2 linked regions of the Rattus norvegicus genome follow. The protein of the gene in region 1 interacts with the protein of each later gene in a pairwise test. Links are inferred from orthologs where the notes say so. Each region holds a gene or a part of one and is shown on either strand. Other genes may lie near its edges. The genes, in order: Rin1 and Rras2.

Region 1 (4,557 bases):
GGAGACATGGGAAGAAGTTCCAGCCTCCTCAGAGGCCCAATCGCCACACTAGACAGTGACCCCTCCCCTCCGCCTGCTAGATCCCTAGGTAACTAGGTAACAGACCAGGACCAACATAGCAACCTCAGGGAAAGTTACAGGGAAGAAAGACAATGTTCTCTAGAGTTCCTGGAATAGAGGATTGGATCCTTCTATGCTGCTTGCAGCTCTGGGGTTCTGGAACCGGCTTGCTGTGGAAGTGGGTAGTGCACAGCCTCTACTTTGAAAGAGTGGAGCTGGGGGAAGTGGTTGGGGTAAGGGGGTCATACCTGCCTGGGTTTTCAGGGCTGTGTATAGCAACTTGCAGGCCTGCAGGAGCCACTTGATCTGGGCACTAGGCGAGTAGGCACGAAGGAGCTGCAGCAGCTTCTGACGCACTGGTTCTATCTCCACTGGGGAAGAAAGGTTCAGGTGGGACCCGAAGGCTCCAGGCCCCTGGGTCCGGGCCAGGCGGAAGCCCTCAGCTAGGCGGCCAAGGGAACCGTCTGTGGAAAGTCGGCGCCGCAGGCGGGCAGCTAGAATGGGTCGAAGAGGCTTGAGAACAGAGCGATGCAGGGATTTCTCCAGGACCAATTCTGCAAGAAGAGAGTTGTTGCTGTCAGGGGAAAGAAGCCTGGAAAAGCAGGAGTCCCTCGCCAAGACAGGAGATAGGGAGAAGGGTGAGGAGGAGAAGATGGAATTCCCTGCACCAGTAGTGAGAAGGGGTGGGGGTGGGGTGCAGGGTAAGCAGCAGTCATTAGGTACCAAAGTCAAGGAGAGAGGGAGACAGGGGAGGATGGAGAGCCAGGGACATGAACCGGTGCAGGCCAGGGCTCGGCCTTACCCAGCCGCTCTGGTGGTAGCAGTTTCTCAGGGCCCAGCTCTGCACTCAGCATGGCCCGTGCCCGACTCAGGGCCTGTCGGATGCCCTGCAACTCCCGGGACTCAGGACCAACACGAACCTGGGTCAATAGGTCCTGCACTAGCTGACCCACAGCTGTGTATCGGTTGTGCATTAGCATTGTAGCTGCCCGGCCCACCTGCCTCTCTGGTGCCAGCAGAGAGCAGAAAGCAGAACTCATGGACCGAAGCAGAGGCCGCCGGTGCCTTGGGCGGCTTAGGCGTGGGGAGGTTGTAGGGCTTCCTGAAGAACCCTCCTCCTCTGAGCTGCTGGGGGAGCAGCAGTCCACCTCCTGAAGTGAAGGTAGGGGAGGAAGACTAGGACCAGAAGCACTTCCTGGCACACGGTATCCCACTGAGCTCTCCCTCTGCAGCAGCTGTCGAGGGGGCAGTCTTTCCGTTTGGCTGGAAGATGTCCCTGGCAGAACGGGGACTGGAGGAGGCGGCACAGCAGGTGGAGACAGAGGGCTGGAGGTCTCTGTGGATACACGCACTTTGAAACTCCTCTTGAATTTCTCACGTTTGGTGGGGCCCAGATCCCCGGGGAAGAGGGGGTTGAAGAAGCAGAGGGCTGCACCAGTGCCCTGATCCAGCTCTTGAGGGGAGCGAGCCTTCAGCCGGGGTATCTGCGGAGCTTCTGAAGGTCTCTGTTGGTTCTTGGTGTTGAGAGAGGAACTCCAGAACTCTAGCAATCAGAAACCAATGGGGACCTCAGAGCTGGCTCTGGAGAGTACCCACAAAGAAAAATCTTGGTTGTTCTTTCTTCCCCCCATTTGGCTTCTATGTGTCCATCTGTGTAACAGGCTGCAGGGGACCCTTACCCATGCCCAGATGGGAGATGGCCTCCAGCTCTTTGTGGGTGGCTGCCTGATGAATGGCTCTGGGGAGTCGGAGAGGGAGGAGAAGAATGTCCCTAAGGTCAGAGCAAAGTGCAGTCAAGAGAGAGTGGTGCTCAGATGCAGAGGGTGGGCAGTCCCTGGAGGCAGGCCCAGGGGTCACCAGGTGCCCTGCTGGCAGGCTCACCTGGTATGACAGTATGCACAGATGAGCTGGACCAGGTCCGGGAATGTGAGCTCTGAGCCCTCCAAAGAGATGCCTGAGAGACATTGGGAGTGAGGCCGTTCTCTGGGAACCTCCCTCCCCTGCCTGTCTTCCAGCCCCTTCCCTCTAGGCCACCCTCCTCACCGCCAGGACTCTCTTGGAGATAGTGGCTGGAGACAAAAGAGGGGCCACTAGCTTCTGGCAGCCGCACACATAGAGTCTGGCACTGGCGAGTGTTAGATTTCCGCACCAGGAAGGTCTGCGAGTGATCAAGATTAGGAGGCTCAGGATCTCCACGTCCAGGCCCTTTCCCTCCCAGTCTTGTCCGGCTAGACCTTTAGGAACGGGAGAGACTCACCCCCGGAGGCTCTGTCCTCAGCACGTGCAGTGCGGCTGCAGCGTTGGCCCGCAGCTGTAACCACACAGGCCGGGTGATCAGCAGCCGCTCCCGCAAGCTCACTGTGCGTGCTGGTTGTTGGGACCCGCCTGCCTGAACCCCTCTGGCATCAGGTGTGTCATACAGTGGGTCTGGAGATGGCCTGGGGGCAGACACCCAGACTTGAGTAGGGGTCTTGGGTGAACACCTCTTCCCATTTGGGGCTTCCCATCTCTCCTGTCCTTGCCAGATCTTCCTATAACTGCCCTCACCCCCTGCACCTGGCTGATCTCCCGACTTTACTAACTTTTCTTCCTGTTGGTACCCAGGTACAAAGTTCAGGCTGGTGGCTCCCAGAGGGTGTGCTTCGGTCTCACCAGGGTCTTCCATGGCTGGGAGCTCCTTCAGCTTCTCCTGGGACTCAGGAAGAGAATCCAACCCCCAAGGCACAGGCGTGCACATTCCTGGCGGTGAGTAACACTTCCTGAAGGCGGTTCGCCCGGTCACACCCCGCCAGTTAACTCTTGTATGTCCACTCCATGTAGCCAGTGTCCACTTCTTTTGCTCTTGGCCCAGTCTTGAATGGCAGAGGCTTCCACACTAGAGTCTATCAGGGCCCCCGCTGTGGGAGGAGCACCTCCACACAGCACTTCCTGTAGCCTCCTCACACTATGCAGTGGGATAGGGAGGGGTTAAACACGGCCAACCAAGTTCCCACAGGCCCAAGCCGCACCCCTGGGTCACCTTAAGAAGTCTGTGGTCACTGGCTCATCTGTTCCAGCCTTGAAGGCGGGGTCAGCCTTGTGGGAGAGCACCCCCTACTGGTTGCAGATGACTCATTCCTGAATCTAACTTGGGTTTTGTGATTTCAGGTTGCTATGGAGAAAGGATGCTGTGTCTCCATGGAAACTAAGCTCTTTGCTTAACTGAGGTTCTGGGGGTGGTTCTGACACTCACTGCTAAGCAGAGGGGGCGTGTGGCTGTGAGGTCGACAGCACATGGTGCTGCTGCTAGCTGTCTCCCACACACAGACCCTGCTAGCTAGCCCGCCTTGCCAATTTGCCAAGTGTTTGGGGCAGGTGCAGACATGACCTGACCTCCAGAAATGTGCAGAAGCCCCTTCCCCACCCGAGGCCACGTGCTTCGACTGTTTGCCTGCCCTGGTCCCAACTTCCTTCCTCAGGCTTTTCTCTAAGAACTAATGTCTCAAACTGTAGGGACCCCAGAAGTCTGTCTTAGGTGCTCCCCACAAAAGCCTTGATTCCCTTGTAAGATACAACAACCACACAGCAGTCATATCCAGGTCCAATTTTATTCCAGTCCTTGGGATCTGAGAGGCAGACACCAGGAATGGCCCTGAGAAAGCCTGGGAAGCCAACTCCCCAGTGGCAGTTAGGATGGGCAAGACCCAACATGTCTCTGGCAGGAGTCCCTCCTGCAGCGGGGCCTGGCTCATGACTCAGTGGCCAAGGACCAGGGTTTAGTCAGGAGGGTTGCTGCTTTGACTCTGGATGAGGCCTGTCTTCTTGTGGGGGACACTGAGAAGTTACTCTTTGGGGAGGGGTGGGCTGCTCAGGGATGGAGACAACGGTCTTGCTTGGCCAGGTCAGCGTCAGGGCCGGTTGGTTATACAGATCCCAAGGAGAGCAGAGGAGTCCAGCAGTAAGTAACCCCCTGCCTTTGCAGAGAAACGTTAATCCTGTGTGCGGTGCCAGCTGCCCCAAGGACCCTCCGAGTGTAAATGCAGGGTCAGGGTCCTAGAAGGGTAGAAGGACGTTGAAAGAAAATGACAACCACCACTTCCTGAAGGCACTGAGGGAAGTGCCTTACTCCCTTCATCCATAAGGGTCTCTTCTTACTGCTCTCTCTGCTCCACCCTGCCTGGGGGCTCCAGGCACTTTTACCTTCTTGTGGTGTGCAGCCTGGGACTGGGTTCCTGCCCATGCTAGGCGAGAGCACTACCACTGAGCTACACCTCCACCTCTCCATGTTCTTGCTCCCTCAGCCAAGAGCTTCTCCAACCTGGATTCTATTCCTCAAACTCCCACAAAACCCTCAAAGTCAGATCAGGCTACCAATTCTGACAAGCCTGTGTCTGCGGTTCTTACCATCTGCTTTTCTCTTCTGAGGGGACACTGCTGCCCTGGCCTGGGTGGAGAGAAGAAAGGGTCCCTTAGAGTCCATTATAGCTTGTTGATACTGCCCCCCACAGACCAGGATAA
Region 2 (4,278 bases), about 34 Mb from region 1:
ATGTTTTCACGTCCGGTGTTGAATGTTTATATATGCGTGCAGATGTAGCTGATAGACTGTGGCTTTAGTTACATAATCTAAGATTACCAGAGTAATGGAGGTGGCCTTTGTAGACCCACACCTTTGTCCCAAGACCTTGAGGCTAATCCATTTGATGTCCACAGCTGTATAACTATATTATCCTAGCTTCCAGATGACTAAAAGCCATAGCACAGACAGGTTCAGTAACTTACCCAACATCATGCTCAGGGGAATGGGCTCCACACAGGTGCTGTGCCTCCTTCCTCCTCACCAAGTCAACCCCAGAGCTATGTTCCTGTTTCACCAGCCCCAAAACCCCAAGTCACACACGCCTCTCCTACTCCCAGCTCCCCACACACTGGCCTCCTCTTTCCAATCTGGCCTGTGACTCCCCACGTTCACACAACCCCCATAAGACACAGTGCTCTTTTTTGGTACTAGGGCTCCAATGCAGAGCTTCCCACACAGCAGGCAAACCACTCTACGCTGCGCTACACCTGCCAGCCCCACAGAGCTTGTTTAGAGCCTTCCCACACTGACTCCTTCAAATCAGAATTCCCTTTCCATCTAAAGGTCTCATCTCACACACATACTGAAGTGACTACATTATCAACACAGCACACAGGCTCAACGCAACGCTAAAATCTTTCTCATAATGTAAAAGTTATAAAGGACATGTACTGAGAGCTATTTCACTAACAAGAAAATTGGAGGTTCAGAAAGGCTATTTGGGTGGTTGTTTTCATAGCCAATAAACAAAAGGCACAGTTCAAGTCTGTAGGATTCAAAAGTCCTTATCGGTATAAATCATTGCCACGCATGTCTTTACTTGACCTCATTTTAGAGCCTCTAGATACCAGACTACTCACAAAGTATTCAACAAATGAATTCTAGAAGGTCTTGAGGAAGACAGTCATTGCTGGGAGTGTAAGGATTTTTAAAACTATTTCTCAAATACCTTACCTGATGGAAGCAATCATGTTTGGATGATCTTCCTTCAAAAACTTAAATGTTTCTGATTTAAATCTCCTAAACAAATATTATCCACCAGTTCTGGAACCCAGGACTGTCCTCTGTCTTCTTGGTTCCCTCCAAAACCAGCCATCAGGGAGAGTTATCTGTGACTTGTTTTGCTGTCAGCCACTTAAAAGTCTCTTTTGGCCCCAAGCAAATAACAACTGCCAAAAGCCAGGCTGAAGTCTGGTAAACTTAAACCCACACCCCCACCACCGCAGCCACCACCACCACCACCACCACCACCGAACATGCTGTCAACGCTCATGACATGAACATCCTCTCCGAATACAAAGGTTGAGCAGCACTTTTTTATTCCATGAAATATTACAGGAGCAATTACTGTTCATTCACTTGGTGTGAAACTGACTATCAGTTAGGTTATGGAACTGTGCGTCTTAACACTATAAACACCACAGTTATAGCGAAACAAAATAAGCTATTTTAAGTCTATCCATTCAACAAATGGGTGAAACAAACAAAAACCACTTCGCCACCCGTCCCCTTTAATACAGTAAAAAAATACCTTTGTTACTTAGGGTACCTGCGCTCTCTCCAACATATGCCACGCCTTTCAGGGTGACAAAAGCAAGGAGAGCTGCCTTTGCTTTTTAAAAATCAAAAAGAAAAGAGAAAGAAAAATCAATCGGGCGTCTTAACCAAGAATAAAGTCTAAAGACATTTTACCTCCCTTTTCTTTGACACAACCCGACTTTCCTCCTCCAGCAACCGGGAGGGGGTGGGGGTGGGGGCTGCAATACAAAACTCATATTCGTCCCCTCCTAGTGGGGCTCATCCCAAACTTCACCTAAGCGCGAAGCAGGCAGGCACCGGGAATTCCAAGGAAATGGTCTCGCCCCTATCAAAGCACATTTTTAACTTCCTCGAAGCCATTATTTCCCTAGGGCACGATCAAACACTCCCACCCGGACATACCACCTAACAGACTACTAGTAAGAGAAGCTCAAACACACACAAAGAGAAAACACTATTGGGAGCCGGTGGTGCGAAGCCTCCAAGTAGTCCGGGCCATCGCTGCCACCAAGGCAAGCGCGAGGTCCCCACTCCGGCCCTCGGGGCAGGAAACCCGGCACCGCGGCGCGGCTGCAACCCGCCGGCTCCCGCCCTGACCGCAGCGATAAGGTGGAACTGCGCTTCCCACCCGGCCAGCTCCGCCCTCTGGGCCACATTCCTGAGAAGCCGGAGTCCTCGGACGCCGCGCCGGGCGCCTGGCGGGCAGCAGCGCGGCGCCGTGGCCGCAGGGCAGGAGCGCAGCGCCTACTCCACACTATTCTTGCCCTCGCAGCCGCGCGCCCTGGCCCCGCGCAAACCGCACCCGCGCGCACCGCACGCGCCGGAGCCCCGCACCCGCGCGCCCCGGGCGGGGTCGCCGCGGCCACAGGTAGCGCCACCCCGCCGCCGCCACCCCGCAGGCCGTCTCCAAGCACCTGGATGAACTGGATGGTGAGCGCCGACTTGCCCACGCCGCCACCGCCGACCACCACGAGCCGGTACTTCTCCTGGCCGGAGCCGTCGCGCCAGCCGGCCGCGGCCATCGGGACGCCCCGAGCCCAGCCCGGCCGCCGCGCGCCCTAGGCCCGGCTCCGGGGACGAGTGCGGCCGGCTGGGTTACAGGCGGTAGAGCGCGCGGGGCCCGCGAGTGGCCTGGAGGGCCGCGGAGCGCTATCCCCGGGACTGGTTGGGAGTTGCCCGAGACGCAGGAGAGCCGAGAAGGCTCCAGGGCAGAGGACGCAGCGGCCAGGGAGCGCGATCCTCTTCGCGGCTCTGCAGCGCAGCCGAACGCAGCCTCTAGCACCGCTACAAATGGCCGTCTGGGGGCCGGGCCGCCGGGCTGGGGTACTACATATGCATGAGGGGGCGGGGCTAGGCCTCGCCCGCCCAGGCGGAGACTCTGGAGCGCCCTAGGCAGCAGACCCTGCAGACCTGCCCTTAGAGCTCCGGGAGGAAGACAACGGGAAAATGGACGGCGGTGACAGTAACTGCATAAGTCAGGGATCGTGTTCATGAAAGAAACAGCCTGTGACGGCGTGAATGAAAAATAGAACTGTTGTCATATTCACTCAACTCTGTACCCTGTTTTCGGAATGCAGATGGTGACTGTATTTAAAAAAAAAAAAAAAAAGAAAGAAAGTATAAAGCAGCCATTGAGGAAATGAGACCTGTAGCATTACCTGAATGTATCATAGGCTAGTGGCAGTGCGAGAGTTAGGTGGATAGTGATTGAGTTTGCATGGGGCTACAGTGCATGTGGACAGATGTGGGGTGCAGCATCTGTTTGTATGTCTATGTGTGGAAAAACTGTGAGGTAATTGAGTCTGAGGGTCGTGAGAAATTGGCAGGTTAGTGACATGTTTCCTACCAGGAGAGTGTTTCGTTGCTAACACAGCTTCTACACACACGATCAAGCCCTTGCCCTTAGAGTCCAGAGGAGGAGGCAGCCAGGACAATAGGCACCTTGTGAGACATAATGATAAGGACAACAGCTGCTCAGCACTGAGGTCCAAGGTGCACTTACCCCGGAGCTGGCCAGTCAGAGAGGGTTTTCCAAAAGACCGAAGGAATAATCTTGTAAACAGATAAGTGATTGGAAGAAAAGTATTCCAGGGAAAGAAAACCAAGCTAAGCTATACATGGTAGTGCATGCCTTTAGCCCCAGTATTCTAGAAGCAGGAGCAGGTAGATCTCTGTGAGCTCAAAGAGTTCGAGGCCAGCCTGATCTACATAATGAGTTCCAGGCCAGGGCTACACACACAGGGAGGTCTGGGCTGAAAAGAAAGGAAGAATGAAAGAGAGAAAAGAAAACCAGATATGAGGGGCTATGCAGAAGCCAGAGATGACAAAGGGACACATTCTGTTGTGTGGTTTTGAATGTGCTGAGGGGAGCTTACACGCTAGCAGATATAAATAGAACGCATTGTGTGTTAGTTGAATGTGGTAGGGATATCTCTCTGTAGAGGCAGGGTAAGATTGAGGTTGTGGTCTCAGAGGGTAGACTGGTTCAAATCCTGCCTGCTTTGCTAATGGCATGATGATGGGAACTTAAACTCTGTGCCTCCACTTCCTCTTCCCTCAAATAAGGGCCCTGGGCCAGTGGATGGCTCAGAGAACAACAGCACGCACACGCCTAACGACCTGATCTCTGGGATCCACAGGGAGGGAGAAAGGCAGCTCCCAACACTTGTTCTCTGCCCTCCACACATATGCCTTCATTGCCATGCATAC

What was found.
Region 2: the proteins of Rin1 (region 1) and Rras2 interact in binary tests that used the Homo sapiens proteins (3 or more experiments, as listed by UniProt). The link is inferred for Rattus norvegicus from reciprocal best matches to the Homo sapiens genes RIN1 and RRAS2.

What each region holds. Positions count from the first base shown.
Region 1 is NC_086019.1:211,783,483-211,788,039, reverse strand, and holds the start of Rin1 (ras and Rab interactor 1), read right to left. Parts: upstream 2,934-4,557; 5' UTR 2,798-2,933; coding exon 2,643-2,797; intron 2,499-2,642; coding exon 2,318-2,498; intron 2,219-2,317; coding exon 2,104-2,218; intron 2,015-2,103; coding exon 1,942-2,014; intron 1,832-1,941; coding exon 1,740-1,831; intron 1,604-1,739; coding exon 863-1,603; intron 615-862; coding exon 309-614; intron 1-308. UniProt on the Homo sapiens protein: Ras effector protein, which may serve as an inhibitory modulator of neuronal plasticity in aversive memory formation. Can affect Ras signaling at different levels. First, by competing with RAF1 protein for binding to activated Ras.
Region 2 is NC_086019.1:177,734,698-177,738,975, forward strand, and holds the start of Rras2 (ras-related protein R-Ras2), read right to left. Parts: upstream 2,855-4,278; 5' UTR 2,592-2,854; coding exon 2,484-2,591; intron 1-2,483. UniProt on the Homo sapiens protein: GTP-binding protein with GTPase activity, involved in the regulation of MAPK signaling pathway and thereby controlling multiple cellular processes. Regulates craniofacial development.